Linked DNA regions of Xenopus tropicalis. The protein of the gene in region 2 interacts with the protein of the main gene of each other region in a pairwise test. Links are inferred from orthologs where the notes say so. Each region holds a gene or a part of one and is shown on either strand. Other genes may lie near its edges.

The links. The genes of interacting proteins can lie anywhere in the genome.
Region 1: the proteins of hsd17b14 (region 2) and srek1ip1 interact in binary tests that used the Homo sapiens proteins (3 or more experiments, as listed by UniProt). The two-hybrid records come from large-scale screens. The link is inferred for Xenopus tropicalis from reciprocal best matches to the Homo sapiens genes HSD17B14 and SREK1IP1.

What each region holds. Positions count from the first base shown.
Region 1 is NC_030677.2:188,224,097-188,235,477, forward strand, and holds the start of srek1ip1 (protein SREK1IP1), read left to right. Parts: upstream 1-5,206; 5' UTR 5,207-5,277; coding exon 5,278-5,290; intron 5,291-11,381. Other genes in the region: spliceosome-associated protein CWC27 homolog, read right to left, coding at 2,310-2,406, 4,791-4,832. UniProt on the Homo sapiens protein: Possible splicing regulator involved in the control of cellular survival.
Region 2 is NC_030683.2:114,406,471-114,410,762, forward strand, and holds the start of hsd17b14 (17-beta-hydroxysteroid dehydrogenase 14), read right to left. Parts: upstream 2,801-4,292; 5' UTR 2,714-2,800; coding exon 2,611-2,713; intron 185-2,610; coding exon 149-184; intron 1-148. UniProt on the Homo sapiens protein: Catalyzes the NAD(+)-dependent oxidation of L-fucose, yielding L-fucono-1,5-lactone, which rapidly converts spontaneously to L-fucone-1,4-lactone. Can also act on D-arabinose and L-galactose, with lower catalytic efficiency. Does not use NADPH.

The DNA of each region.
Region 1 (11,381 bases), on a different chromosome or scaffold from region 2:
AAAAAAAAGCATATTGGCTACTTATAATTATAGTAATTTCATTTCCTAGTGTCATTGCCCCCCCCCCCCCCAGAGAAGGGGAACAAAAGGATAGCTTAAAAGAATGAAAATGCTAAAAGGAGAAAAAGTGTAGTGTGTTAAAATAAAAATGTAGCACAGAAAACCTGTTTTTTGCACAATAAAAGAAAATTTTATTCTAGGCAGAATATATTTAGTAACATTTGGAGGGAGGAAAGAAAGTATCTTAGGGAATTTTTATTGGTAGAGACAATGCTGGATGATAAAGAAATAACCTGAAGAAGAGAAAGAAATAAGAAAAAAGAAGTACAATGAAAAAACAATAGAGAACTATATAAAACAGTGCTGTCCAACTGGCGATACTCCTCTGTGTGGCGCCCCACCTGTCTGGCTGCTTTGATGATTTACCTTTGTGTAAACTTTAAATGGTATCAGTACTGAGATTAACTGGCCCCCTGCATGGTTCTCACCTCAGATTCAGGCTGAAAACCACCTGTATTGTTTAAAAATGTAATCCCCTGTGTTGTTCACACCTTTTAATCCCTGCATTGTTCACCCCCTGCAGTGTTCAAACCTCAGGCTCAGGCTGTAATCACCCACATTGTTCACCTGTTCACACCTCAGACTGTAGGAGCAGTAGAAACCCACAAATAAACCCTGCACACTACAAAAAACATATACTGAGGTGGTACTGCAATTAAAAAGTTTTTAAATATATAGTTATTGTGCAGACTGTAGGAGCAGTGCCAGCACACAGGCAGCATAGGGCAGGCAGAGTATGGCACACACAGGCAGGGTAGGGCAGGCTGAGTATGGCTCACACAGGCAGGGTAGGGCAGGCCGAGAATGGCACACACAGGCAGGGTAGGGCAGGCCGAGTATGGCACACACAGGCAGGGTAGGGCAGGCAGAGTATGGCACACACAGGCAGGGTAGGACATGCAGAGTATGGCACACACAGGCAGGGTAAGGCAGGCAGAGTATGACACCCACAGGCAGCATAGAGCAGGCAGAGTATGGCTCACACAGGCAGGGTAGGGCAGACAGAGTATGGCACACACAGGCAGCATAGGGCAGGCAGAATATGGCACACACAGGCAGGGTAGGGCAGGCTGAGTATGGCACACACAGGCAGGGTAGGGCAGGCTGAGTATGGCACACACACACACAGGGTAGGGCAGGCTGAGTATGGCACACACAGGCAGGGTAGGGCAGGCTGAGTATGGCACACACAGGCAGGGTAGGGCAGGCAGAGTATGGCACACACAGGCAGCATAGGGCAGGCAGAGTATGGCACACACAGGCAGCATAGGGCAGGCAGAGTATGGCACACACAGGCAGCATAGGGCAGGCAGAGTATGGCACACACAGGCAGCATAGGGCAGGCAGAGTATGGCACACACAGGCAGGGTAGGGAAGGCAGAGTATGGCAGGTTTTTGCTGTACTACCACCATTAATATGGGTATGGTCATGTGATAACATGAACTCAATGCTCCATCTAGGTCTTCCATTAATGAAATATTCCACATGGGTCCTATTGTACTGCATATCTATCAAACAGGTTTAATTAACAAAAGAAAACAACGAAAAGCTGTGCTTAAGCATACAGATATGAGGTATAATCTAGTATAATCTAGCAGTGTCAGTAAAAAGAATTATTCAGCAGCCAGCAACTGGACAGAATTGTAGTTGCCATGTTTTCACTTTCATAAATAAATGCTTTTTTTTGTTTTAGCTTTGCACCATAAGTAGCTTTTTTAACATGTGTAGTTCTAGGCATAATTAAACAATAGTAATAGGAAGCTTTACAAACCAGCATGCCCCTGCAACTGATTTCTTGCTTTGGCTTCACAGGACTGGAGCAAACTAGCCACCTGTTATTGTATCCCCACATAGTTTAGCATAGGTTAATGTGTCACTATAAAGCAAGGGTTCTTAAGCTATGGTTTGAGTGCCATATACGGCCGCCCATGACGTTAAGAGTGGGATTCCACTTCTTTTAATAATGTGAAATGTCTTTCTACAATGCATAACATTTATTAAAACAAAGTGCATAAGGGGTTGTGAAATAGATTACCCAATTTAAAAAGGGAAGAAGAAGGGGGAAATCAATAGAAAATCAAATCTATGACCCAATAGAAGCAAAAAATAATAAATTATTGCCTGCCACTGTTGGTTTTCTCTTTGGTTGCAAGGATCAGCTTAGCAAGGCATCATTATCAACGGTTTTCTAAAGTTCTGAAGTAATCTGGCTTTTATTGCAAGTGTGTGTTTCTGTTTGCAACGTTACCTTCTAAACAAAGCTGTACAAAGTTTCGGCATGCTCTTGGTGCCTCTTTTGACCACAATTCAATGTCAATCTCTCCAGCAGTTGTTTTCAGCAAAACCTGGAAAAGTGGTAGTAAAAATTATTATTTGGGCAGGATTTCTTCCTCTTCTTGCTGCCTTTGTCTTTCACGTGTGGCATATAGTATGACACAAGTTCACACAGGACATCCTACCCTACCCGTGAGCATTATTTAAATATAAAAAAGTTGGGGAGTAACACAAGCACGAAAAAGTTTTCTAGGGGTTACAATGAGGACTGTGACTGGTTATTAGGTAGCCCAACGTGGATGGGCAGACTACAGGAGGCTCAGTTTGGCAGTACACATGGTCTTTATGCCCCCAAAATTTGCATCCAAGCCAGAGGCTACTGGGAGCAACTTCCAAGGGGTTGGGGAGCAACATGTTCCTTGCAAGCCACTGGTTGGGGCTCACTGCTGTAGACCTTCTTTACCTCTTACATGGAACTAGATATATAATTATCACAGCGTAGTTCAGGAGATACTTATGGGTACATCATATAGAAAGAAATGGGATGACATTGAGCAACAATATGGAGGTGAGCAAGTTGATGGCAGTGGATGTGATCTACTTGGACTTTGCTAAAGCATTTAGCAGTACTGCACAGAAAGTTAATGGTAAAATTTGGCCTGGAACATAGTGCTGGGCGGTATGACCAAAAATTTATATCACGGTATTTTTTTTATTATATCGGTATCACGGTATTTGACGGTATTTTTTTTTCCCCATGCATGATTAGGTGACCACCCCAAACACCCCCCCCCCCCCAATTTTTCTTACTATTTCCGGGTTGCACGCGCGACGTCAGCGCGCACAACCCGGAAATAGTAAGAAAAATTGCCAGGAGGCGCCCACACCGGTATGCCGGTAAGTTAAAAATTTTTATCATTTTTTTTTTAAAAAAATGGTGTTCGGTATATACCGGTATACCGCCCAGCACTACTGGAACATAATATTTTAAATTGGATAAATAAATGATTGAAGGATAGATTACAGTGTAGAGAGAGGTGGTAAATAGAACATTTTCTAATTGGGCCAGTGTTGTTAGTGGAGTACCGCAGGGGTCAGTCCTTGGTCCTTTGCTTTTTAACTTGTTTATTAATGACCTGGAGGTGGACATTGAAAGTACTGTTTCTATTTTTGCTGATGATACTAAATTGTGCAAAACTATAAGTTCCATGCAGGATGCTGCCGCTTTGCAGAGCTGACAAAGCTGGAAAACTGGGCAGCAAATAAGGTTTAATGTTGAAAACTGCAAAGTTATGCACTTGGGTAGAAATAATATAATAATGTAATAATATTACACACTAAATAGTAGTGTGTTGTGGGGATCCTTAATAAAGAAGTATCTGGTTTTTTTTGTAGATAACAAGTTGTCTAATTCTAGGCAGTGTCATTCTGTGGCTACAATAAAGTGCTTAAAAAAAGGGCATTGACTCAAGGGATGAAAACATAATTTTGCCCCTTTATAGGTCCCTGGTAAGGCCTCACCCTGAGTATGCAGTGCAGTTTTGGGCTCCAGTCCTTAAGAAGGATATTAATGAGCTGGAGAAAGTGCAGAGACTGCAACTAAACTGGTAAAGGGGATGGAAGGGTTAAACTATGGGGTTAGACTGTCAGGGTTGGGGTTGTTTTCTCTGGAAAAGAGGCGCTTGCGAGGGGACATGATTACTCTGTACAAGTACATTAGAGGGGAATATAGGCAGATGGGGGGGTTCTTTTTTTCCCATAAAAACAACCACCACACCAGAGGCCCCCCCTTAGGAACGGAGCTTCCATTTGAAGCAGCGTAGGGGGTTCCTCACGCCCCGGGGAGGGCAGTGAGGTTGGGGAATGCCCTTCCTAGTGATGTGGTAATGGCAGACTCTGTTAATGCCTATAAGAGGGGCCTGGATGAGTTCTTGAACAAGCAGAATATCCAAGGCTATTGTGATACTAATATCTACAGTTAGTATTGATGTTGGTATATATAGTTTAGGTATGTTAGTTTGGTATATAGCCTATATATGTGGCTGGGGTTCGCCTGGAGCCCATTCATGTAACTAAAGGACAGCCTGCACTGGTGCATTTGGGCACCTTCCTAGCAGGACATTAGTTAGTCAGCTCAGAAGCTCTGTCCTAGGGCTGAATATGCAGGAGGAGTCTCCATAAAGCGCAGCACAGTCCTCTCTGCTCCCCATGTGGATTATACCAATGTGCTGACAGCTGGGGGGGGCAGCTACATGACGCGAAACTAAAACATTTACCCTGGGAAATGTATTTTCACAGAAAAACATTGAGTAAATTTACTTATAGACTTTACATTTCCTTTATCAGGTACCGCGCTGGGAGAGATATTTCAGCAACAGCAGATGGGAATCCCATGCTAAATATTATTCCTTTATCCTTCTGCCCTACAAGCCCCTTACTTTCTCCCGCTGCTCACCTTGCCGTTTGTCGGCGGCTCCTGAATGTAAATATTGCTCATTGTTACTCAGCTTCTTGCAAACAAACTCCAGCGTGCAACCTGACAGGACGGGACCGCCCACATACAGCCTCAGAGGGGTGCCAGAGAAGATTCTGATTTAAAAATGACACAGCAAAGAGCGTTAACAGGACTCGTCCCATCCACAGTTATATAGTAGCTCGTATTTTGTTACCCGAATGCTCCAAGATCACAGCGTCTACAGCAGAGGATGATTACACCAGAGTTGCATTGCTTTAGTTCCCCCCTTTCTCTTAGTGTGGCCGAAAGTACACTTCCCGGAAACCAGAGCTTTCATTTGCGTTCCACTGCGCACCGCTTATTCTGTTCCGCTGAGAAACAAGTCCATGCTGTGATTGAGTTCCGAGGAAGTGAATTGGTTAGGAGGCGCGCAGTAACTGTTTGAGGGGTGCGATCTTCTGTGTACGGACGCTGAGAATTGTGACTTATGGCTGTCCCAGGTTAGTCTGATTTATAAATCACGTTTTTTACCTCACCTGATCCATCTGATTTTGATAGAGAGGACTTTTATAATACAGGCTCGAGTCTGAACTCGACATGTGTAAAGTCTCTGCAAAGTGCATTATGTTGTACTGTACACTGTACGCACACAACCCAACTCCCCAACCCAATTAGTTTTATCCCCCGCTATTTTATGCCCGAGTCCCCAAAATACGTAGGACATCATTTTTTTCTGCTTTTGAAGGGGTGGTTCACCTTCAGTTAAACTTTAAGTATGTTATAGAATAGCCTGTTTTGAGCAACTTTTCAACTAGTCTTCATTTTATATTTTCGGTTGTTTCTGCCTTTGTCTTCAGGCTCTTAAGGTCCCCATACACGGGCCGATAGAAGCTGCCGATATTGGTCCCTTGGACCGACTCGGCAGCTTATCGGCCCGTGCAGGGGCAGAAACGATCGGACTGGCCGACCGATATCTGGCCTGAAATTGGCCAGATATCGGTCGGCCAGGTTAGAAAATCCTGTCAGACCGGGGACCGCATCGGCTCGTTGATGTGGTCCCCGAACCGACTGCCCCATTGCTGCTTGCAGAATTCGATCGTTTGGCCCCAGGGCCAAACGATCGAATTCACCGAAATTCCTCCCCGATATCGCCACCCGTAGGTGGTGATATCGGGTGAAGATCCGCTCGCTTGGCGACATCGCCAAGCGAGCGGATCTGCCCGTGTATGGCCAGCTTTAGGCTAAGAACCCACCGAGCGAGTTACTTGCCCACAATATCGCATGCGAGTAGCTGCTCCAAAAAGGACTACTCACGCAGAGTTGCCTGCAGGAGGAAACTTTGTGCAACTTCGGAACACGAAACGATACAAAGGGCTTTCCACCAGCGACTTCTATTGTTACCTGTGGAAAGCCTTTTCGAAGCAGTTACTCACATGTGATAGATCTCTCCTAACTCACTCAGTGGGTTTGTACCCTTAGGGCTCTAGTACATGGGGAGATTAGTCGCCCGCGACAAATCTCCCGTGTTGCGGGCGACTAATCTCCCCATGTACCAGAGCCCTTAGGGTGAAGACACATGGAGCTAATAGTAGCTGCTACTTGTAGTAGACAATGCTGATCATTTACTGATAACAGCAGGGCTGTGGAGTCGGAGTCGAGGAGTCGGAGGCAATTTTGGGTACCTGGAGTCGGAGTCGGCAAAAAATGAACCGACTCCGACTCCTACTAAATTTAAATGGGAATAAAAAAAAAAAAATAAAGCAAGTTTAAATGTCCCAATTCACAAACAGTCATAATTAATTACTTCTCTGCTATAAGAATAAAGCCCAATGCACGCAGTGCATAAACTAACACGTTGAGTGACCATGAAGCATGCTTTTCACTGACTGTATGAATGTATAAAATACATTCGCATATTAAAAACAGAGGAGTCGGAAGTATCAGAAACTGAGGAGTCGGAGAATTTTTCTACCGACTCCACAGCCCTGGATAACAGTCTCAACATGTTTTTTAGCAGAGGCAATTCTCAGTATTGTCTATGGCAGGGGATTTTCTGGCATTTAGTAGCTGTAAAAAAGTAGCTGCTACTAGTAGCTCCGTGTGACTTCAACAGTTTTTAAATGGGACCAAAAATCCCCCACTGCTTATATCTTAGTTGGGATCAAGAACAAGGTACTGTTTTATTTATACAGAGAAAAAGGAAATAATTTTTAAAAATGTGAATTATTTGATTAAAATGGAGTCTATGGGAGATGACCTTTCCGTAATTCGGAACTTTCTGGATAATGGGTTTCCAGATAAGGGATCCCATACCTGTACCTTTATTGGCTAGAAAAAAGGAACTAAAATGTTCTGGAAGCTTGCTATGATTATCTTAGTTAGCCAATAAAGGTATCACCTTTATACCACTTTTGTTATTTTTTATTTCAAAAGGGTTACCCTGTAAACATGATGGGTGTTATGAACAGGTTTTAACATGCTGTGTGCATGACTGGTCTAACTCTCAGCACCTTTCTGCCACAGGCATATTTGATTGTATTCACTTTTAATAAAAGTGGTTATTAGTAGCAAGTGTCCCCCAGATATAAGCATGTCATTCTATTAGTGATTCATGAGTCATTTGTGAGTGTAAGGAGGGCACTATGGTCCCGCCCTGAATATGGATACTTCATACCAGTATGATGCTGTGTGCACCATAGGTCTAAAGAGAAAATGCTGTCAACAGTGAAAATGGGTCACTTATGCTGTGCCTTTCGATAGTGCTGCATGCTGTGTAAAGTAGTGTGGTCTGGTTAAAACTCATTAAATTTACGCTTTAAAAAAAGTAACCTTTTTATTTCCATGACTGGAGAGGCCTTTGATAAAACTTGTCAGAAAGGAAAGGGTTGCCAAATGTAAACTTTTATATCCTCCTCAACCAAATAGAGAACTCTGTCTAAAGCATTTGCTGTATATTCTGTTTCAGTCGTCTGTTAACTTTGGGCTCTAAAGGACCTGAACAGAAATGATTTTCCTTTTTAAAGGACAATACTTGGATCTGGCTATGGCTTTAGCAAGGGCCCTGGCCAACAGTGTAGAGCAGCGTTTTTCAACCACTGTTGCCTGGTGTGCCGTAGGCAGGGCACCAATGTACTAGGGGGGCACTGCTCTTGGCACCAATGTGCTAGGGGGGCACTGCTCTTGGCACCAATGTACTAGGGGGGCACTGCTCTTGGCACCAATGTACTAGGGGGGCACTGCTCTTGGCACCAATGTACTAGGGGGGCACTGATGCTGGGCACCAATGTACTAGGGGGGCACTGCTCTTGGCACCAATGTACTAGGGGGCACTGCTGCTGGGCACCAATGTACTAGGGGGGCACTGCTGCTGGGCACAGAGTTAAATTTTTTAACATTTTCTAATGGTGGTGTGCCTCGTGATTTTTTTCATGAAACAAGTGTGCCTTTGCCCAAAAAAGGTTGAAAAACACTGGTGTAGAGAACAATGTCACAGCCTCCTTCTGCCTCTCTTGATTTTATTTGCATTTCATTTGAAAGCAGCAATCTCCTGACAAGTGCTCTCATCTGCCTTTCATACTTCTGATTATTGTGCTGCGCTCATAGTGCAATTGGTGCAGAATTCAGGTTTCTTAGCGGTGCACTGCTGGCTAATGATTCTGAAGTATAAGGAGATTTCTTATGGTCAAAGAAAATCAGAAGGAAATCAGTAGAGGTGCAGCATGCAGTGGGCTCAAAAGATAGAGCCTGTAGTACGGGGTGGAGATATGTGTTTACGAAAAGTCAAATCCAAATTAGTTTACAGTTGGGGTAGTGGTTGAAAGATTATTGAGGGGAAAGCCCTTTGAAAGAGGATAGAGGGTCTCTTAGTCAAGGTGACATAAGCAGAAGGGGTTCTCGCTCTCCTTCCTTTACTGTCTTGTCCTTTATTAAGAGTATACATGGGCCAATAAAAGCTGCTGATTTGGTCCGTATGGACCTTACAGCAGGGTGCTCCTTTTCCACATTTATGATATTAGCAGTTTTTACATTGCTAATTTCATAAATGTGTAAAAGGAGCACCCTCTGCTGTTTTGTTTAGGTGGGGACCAGGCAGAACTGGAACTGCTTAATTCACCAATACAGACCGCATCTTCTGCCGCTTTCCTGCTCATTTCTGCTGCTCAGTGGACCAGTAATGATCTGTGTGTGGTCACCTTTGCTTTTATATTTGGCAATGCAGATCTTGGAATCTGGAATATAATGAAGTTTGAATTAAAACTTAAAGGGGATATTATTTTAATGCAATACTTTTATTTCAGCATCTTTATTGTAGTAACAAGCCAGGCCTTCAATGTTGTACACAAGAGCTCCCCATCTTGGATTTTGGAGTGTCAGCGGCACTACAAATGCTCAGTGTGATCTGGGCAGCTGTTAAGAAACTACAGTATACTGTGACATTTATATTCTATATATAAAGTATAATGTGACATTTATATTCTAAATATACAGTATATTGTGACATTTATATTCTAAATATACAGTATATTGTGACATTTATATTCTATATATACAGTATATTGTGCCATTTATATTCTATATATACAGTATATTGTGACATTTATATTCTATATATACAGTATATTGTGACATTTATATTCTATATATACAGTATATTGTGCCATTTATATTCTATATATACAGTATATTGTGACATTTATATTCTATATATACAGTATATTGTGCCATTTATATTCTATATATACAGTATAGTGTGCCATTAAAATTTTATATATACAGTATAATGTGCCATTTATATTCTATATATACAGTATAGTGTGACTTTTATATTCTATATATACAGTATAGTGTGCCATTTAAATTTTATATATAGGTCTTTTGATTCCTGTTACAGGATCTCAGTTTTGCTTAGATGTTTGAATCCCCCTAAGTTATTTAAGATAGCACCACCAAACGGGGCACAGTATTACTTTAAGCTGCATTTATAAGTTGTATAAAAACATCTGTTCAGCCTGGAGTATAAATGGCAGAAGTCAGAGGTTTAGTTGCCCTTATTCTTCATGAGCTTAGTAAGTCAATAGTTTAGTGATATTATTGGCACACACAAAATAGCCGTGCTTTGATTTTGGGGGATTGTTTGTTGAAGTTCTTTGGTATCACATTACCGCACGAGAAAAGGGTTGAGATTTTCTTTGTGTCCTTGAAAACCATTCCTTATCATCATACTTGAACACGTTTTAATTTATTTTGAATTAGGATATCTGTGCAATAACATAAAAAGCAATCCTATCGAGTCTGGATTGCCGGTTGGATATAATCAAATGAAAGAAGCTCTTACTTGTTATTTTAATATATACATATTTATATTGCCTTTCAGCTAGTTTGCTTGTGTGACAGCATCGCACAATTACACACACCTTTACACGTGGGAACATTCATATCATTATCAATCAGTGCAGCTTTCACGCTCATAAATATTTAACATACGGATCTAAAACTCCATATCAGTCAATAAATATTTAATGGGGGAGCAATCCCTTTCACTATTAGAAATTATCATATTTATTGATGTTTGGTGCCTTTTTATTAACTCCTTAACTGCAGGCAGAATAAGTACAATTCCAAACATGTTAACCAGCAGGGTCTTCAGCTAGTGTTGCCCCAAGCGCAAGTGCTAGAGCAATAAGGAAACAAATTTGTACCCCTTAGGCCCATGTACAGAGCACTTGTGCCCAGGGCAATATTCTGCGTGTACTAGCCTTTATATCTTGTGCTATATTATATCCAGTGAATTATCACATTATGAATGTGGTAAGTACAGGGACCCCCAACACTCTGTGTAACTGGTGCTCCCTAGCTTGCACATTTAAATGTTTTGCAAGATAGGAGGCTTTTTAAGGGACACCCTTGCACTGACCATTGAGCTTTCTAGATCCTTTGTTTGTACATGGTCCTGTGTCCCAGCCACAACCTTTCTCGTAATGAAATGTGGTTTTTTTTGGCTTTATCACATTTCTCTTGAAATACTTTATGGTCGTCTGCTCAGGTACAAAGTTACGGGTACAAAGTTACTTGTGTCATCGTGGCTTTTTATTTTATTTATTAAATAAACTACAAACATTTCTTAATCTTTAAGTTTAAACAAATGAAAAAAAATGAAAACAATAAGGTTATAGAGTGAAACAACAACGCACTGGGCTTTATTCTTACAGTAGAGAAGTACTTAATTATGTCTGTTATCTGTCAAATAGAACATTGTAACATATTGTATTTTCTTATCATTACAATTTAAATTTATTATGAGTCGGAGTTGGTACATTTTTGCTCCGCCTTCAGACACCCAAAATTGCTTCCTACTCCACAGCTCTGCTTTTCACACATGCAACCCAATTACCGTATATACTCTAGTATAAGCCGATCCGAATATAAGCCGAGGTACCTAATTTTACCTAAGAAAACTGGAAAAACGTATTGACTCGAGTATAAGCCTAGGGCGGGAAATGCAGCAGCTACTGCTAAGTTTCAATAATCAAAATAAATACCAATAAAATTACATTAAATGAGGCATCAGTGAGGTATATGTTTTTAAATATT
Region 2 (4,292 bases):
TAGGGTGTAGGAGCAGAGAAAGCAGACCCAGCAGTTGCTCGCTGAGGGGGGGCAGGGATATAGGAGACTGGTCTGGTGTGTGTGTGTGTGTGTGTGAAAAAGACACATTTCCCCAAGACGTGGGAGATTCCTATGAAGAGTTCCTTACCTTTCGAGCAGAAGACCACCCTGGCGCCACTCTTTACTGCAGATACGAACAGAAGGGGCACAAAAGAGAGAAAAGAGTCAGTGCTACAGGCACATACATGCAGTATCTATGGTAAATGGCTGCTGCTGTATTGTAACACACTGAGGATCCATAGTAACACATACATGCAGCAGGATTGGATTTTGGGCTTGAGAGAGCCTTTTGTCTCCACAGTGGGGACTTCTCCTAAAGCAGGGCCCACAACCTTTCTTTCCCGTGAGCCACAGTCAAATGTAAAAAGACTTGGAGAGCAACACAGGCACCATAAAAGTTCATGGAGGAGCCAAATAATGGCTAAGATTGGCTATTAGGCAGCCTCTATGCACACTATCAGCTTACAGGGGCTTTATTTGGTAGGAAATCTTGTTTTTATTCAACCAAAACTTGCCCCCAAGTCAGGAATTCAAAAATAACTCCCTGGTTTGGGGGCACTGAGAGCAACATCCAAGGGGTTGGGCAGCAACATGTTGCCCCCGAGCCACTGGTTGGGGATCACTGGCCTAAAGCTGCTATTAGTGCCATGTGGATGCACGCTGCAATGTTTGGCGACTGGTTTAGCCTGAGATCAGGAGCCTTAGGGTAGGAGAGGCCCAAATTGTGTCCTTCTAGCACCTAGAAACTATGACTCCCTCTTTCTTTGCACTGCAATTAGAACAGGCTTGGTGTGACGAACCAGAAAGCTTTTCTTCTATTTCCTAGAAAGAATAATCAGTCACCTGTCCCTTATTACCCACACCTAGCAGTAATGCCCCCCCTATAGTGGGTACTTAGTTACTTCCCAAAGACTAGGGGGTCTGGATGAATGAGCCCCATAGTCAACGAAGTAAAGAAGATATGAAAAGCCCAAAGCAAGCTGATAACCTCCGTATTGCGTGGGTCATTATAAAGGGTATAGTACATTCTACACGACAGAGCGCCAGAGAGGGGGTCGAGCCTACACAACCCATCCCCACAGTAATAACAGGAGAAATCCTGCCCTCTGGACTTTGAGCTGAACAGAACAACCCAACCAAACAAAATGTATGTGTAACTTGTCCTTCTGCCAAGTCAAGCCAAACAAATAACACATCCAGGGCAATGTACAGATGTTGCTGGGCCCCACTATGTATACAATAGTGACTGTTTGACTGTCATTGAATTATAAGTCCCAATAAGGTGGGTGCCAGTTATACCTCGAAAAGAGCCCAAGGGGCATATATTGGGCAATGCTAATATAAAGTGCAACTGTCTGCATCTCTTCCTTCTGCTCCCCGTTCTTTTTACCTACAGCTGCTGCTCTGGCCCTACAATGTGCAGGGTTGAGGGCCATTACCCTTGCTTCCCACCTCAAGCTTTGTTGGTGTGATTAACCTGCCGACCCTCAAAATCTAACAGAAAAGTAGTAATAAAACTCCATAGGGCAGAACTCAGTTGTGGATATTGGCTGAAAATGCATCAATACAACAACATCTGGATTCTAATTTTTAGATTCGTTTTTAATTGGCCTATAGCGCTAGGATGACAGCAACAGCAAGCTTCATCCAACAAGACTAATCATAGACTTAGTTATAAATACAGGAGACAGGGTTAAACCATCTTGGCTGAAATACTGAAATTAAGGCTAGCTCCATATCCTTTTAGAGCAACAATGGGCACATCCACAAAGTTGGTGGAAATCCTTAATGATTCTCAACACAATCCATTTTTAGTATCACTATAATTGTGCTGCATTGGCTTCTTAGCACTTTAGTTCCACTTGGACATTGGGCATTTGTTGAATGCCAGTTCATAGCATATATATATATATATATATATATATATATATATATATATATATATATATATATATATATATATATATACAGTATATATAAATACATTATCCACAATTCTTCATAAACCTCAGTTGTAAAGTGGCAAAGTGCCACTTTATGTGAAGGGGTCATGGTAACAATCCCCTATAAGCACAGAGACCCATTTTTGAGCTTTGAGCACTGGATTCAGAACCATTGCCTTACTCATTTGGCTCCACTCTAGTTATAAATGCATTGAGGCGCTGCACTAAACCAGTAGAAAAGTGTGGTACTGGCGCTAAATAGGGATGCACCAAATCCAGGATTCGGCCAAGATTTAGTCTTTTTCAGCAGGATTTGGGCGAATCCATGCCTTTGGCCAAACCAAATCTGAATCCATGACGTTTTGTCACGTAAATATGGAAGTTTCTCTTTAACCTTTACTTTGCTTGGTATTCGGCTGAATCTTTTGCAAAGGATTCGGGGTTCAGCCAGACCCTAAAAAGAGGATTGGGGGCATCCCTAGTAGAAGAATGCAGGTACCCCAGTGCCCAGGGCTGCTTTATGCCACTGCCCATATACACAATAATAAATAAAAGGCAGATACATTGGGATTTAGTTATAAACTTTAGCAGCAAACTGAATCCTTACCAAACTCCTTGACCATTGCTTCTCCGATGCCCTTGGTGCCCCCCGTTATGACTGCCACCCTGTCACGGTACCGCAGACTCAGCTCTGCCCCACTGGCAGCCATGGTGCTTCTCCTGCGAGGAACCCAGTAGCAGTGCCCAGAGCTGCAGGGAGCAGAACTTCAGTCACGCTCTGAGCAGCTGATCTAACAGGAAATAAGTTGGCTGAGCTCCAGGCCCAGGGAATTATGGGGGGCGTAGTCCTGAGAAGCCAGTGTTAAGAGTTATGTGGAATCCCATTGTTTTGTATGGAGAGGAAGAAATCTGCTCCGGCAGGGTGTGTATCTGTGCAGCCTGAGAATTACCTGCTAATCGATTAACAAGCAAAGACAGGCTAATAAAGCATTTATTACTATATAATGAATGTACCCGAATGGTTGGATACAGGAACAGGGAATATTTTACATTTGAGATATTGAATTAAAGGGACAGTATATCCCTAAAAACATATTTGCTAAATATTAGCACATCAAATAGGACTTATGCTAAAATTACATTCTATTGTTTTAATTAACAAAAATAAAAATTTTCCTATTTTTTGCCATTATAAAGCACTCAAAGCAAAAGTTGCTTGGTAAATCATCTTGGCATGCCATTGTCCTTATCCACTAAAGTACAGGTATGGGACCTGTTATCCAGAATGCTTCACACCTGAGGTTTTCCAAATAAAGGGTCTTTTTGTAATTTGGATCTCCATACCTTAAACCTAATAAAAATCATTTAAACATGAAATAAACCCAATAGGACTGTTCTGCCCCCAATAAGGGGTAATTATATCTTCGTTGGGATCAAGTACAGGTACTGTTTTATTATTACAGAGAAAAGGGAATCATTTAACCATTAAATAAACCCAATAGGGCTGTTCTGCCCCCAATAAGGGGTAATTATATCTTAGTTGGGATCAAATACAGGTACTGTTTTATTATTACAGAGAAAAGGGAATCATTTAACCATTAAATAAACCCAATAGGGCTGTTCTGCCCCCAATAAGGGGTAATTATATCTTAGTTGGGATCAAGTACAGGTACTGTTTTATTATTACAGAGAAAAGGGAATCATTTAACCATTAAATAAACCCAATAGGGCTGTTCTGCCCCCAATAAGGGGTAATTATATCTTAGTTGGGATCAAGTACAGGTACTGTTTTATTATTACAGAGAAAAGGGAATCATTTAACCATTAAATAAACCCAATAGGGCTGTTCTGCCCCCAATAAGGGGTAATTATATCTTAATTGGGATCAAGTACAGGTACTGTTTTATTATTACAGAGAAAAGGGAATCATTATAACCAAACCTGGTACTATTTTCTAACACCAATATGTTAATAAATATCTTACAATTATGGGAAGAACTAAAATGAGGAGTGTTTAGGGCACAATGAGCAGATCCAAAGAATGTACTGGGTGTAATAGAAAGGGGCAGAGTATTTATTACATGATCAGGAGGGCAGATGCTACTAGAGAAAGTAACCCCTAAACTCTAGGAACCCCAAATTAACTAGAGAATGCTGCCCCCCCTGCTACTGTGTAGCAAACCCAATCAGTGCAGAGTAGATATCCTGGGCCATCCCACTTACCTGTTTGAGGAGGGGAGCAGGTCCTGCAAGGGGAGGGTTGGTTCTGACAATTCATATACTTATTAA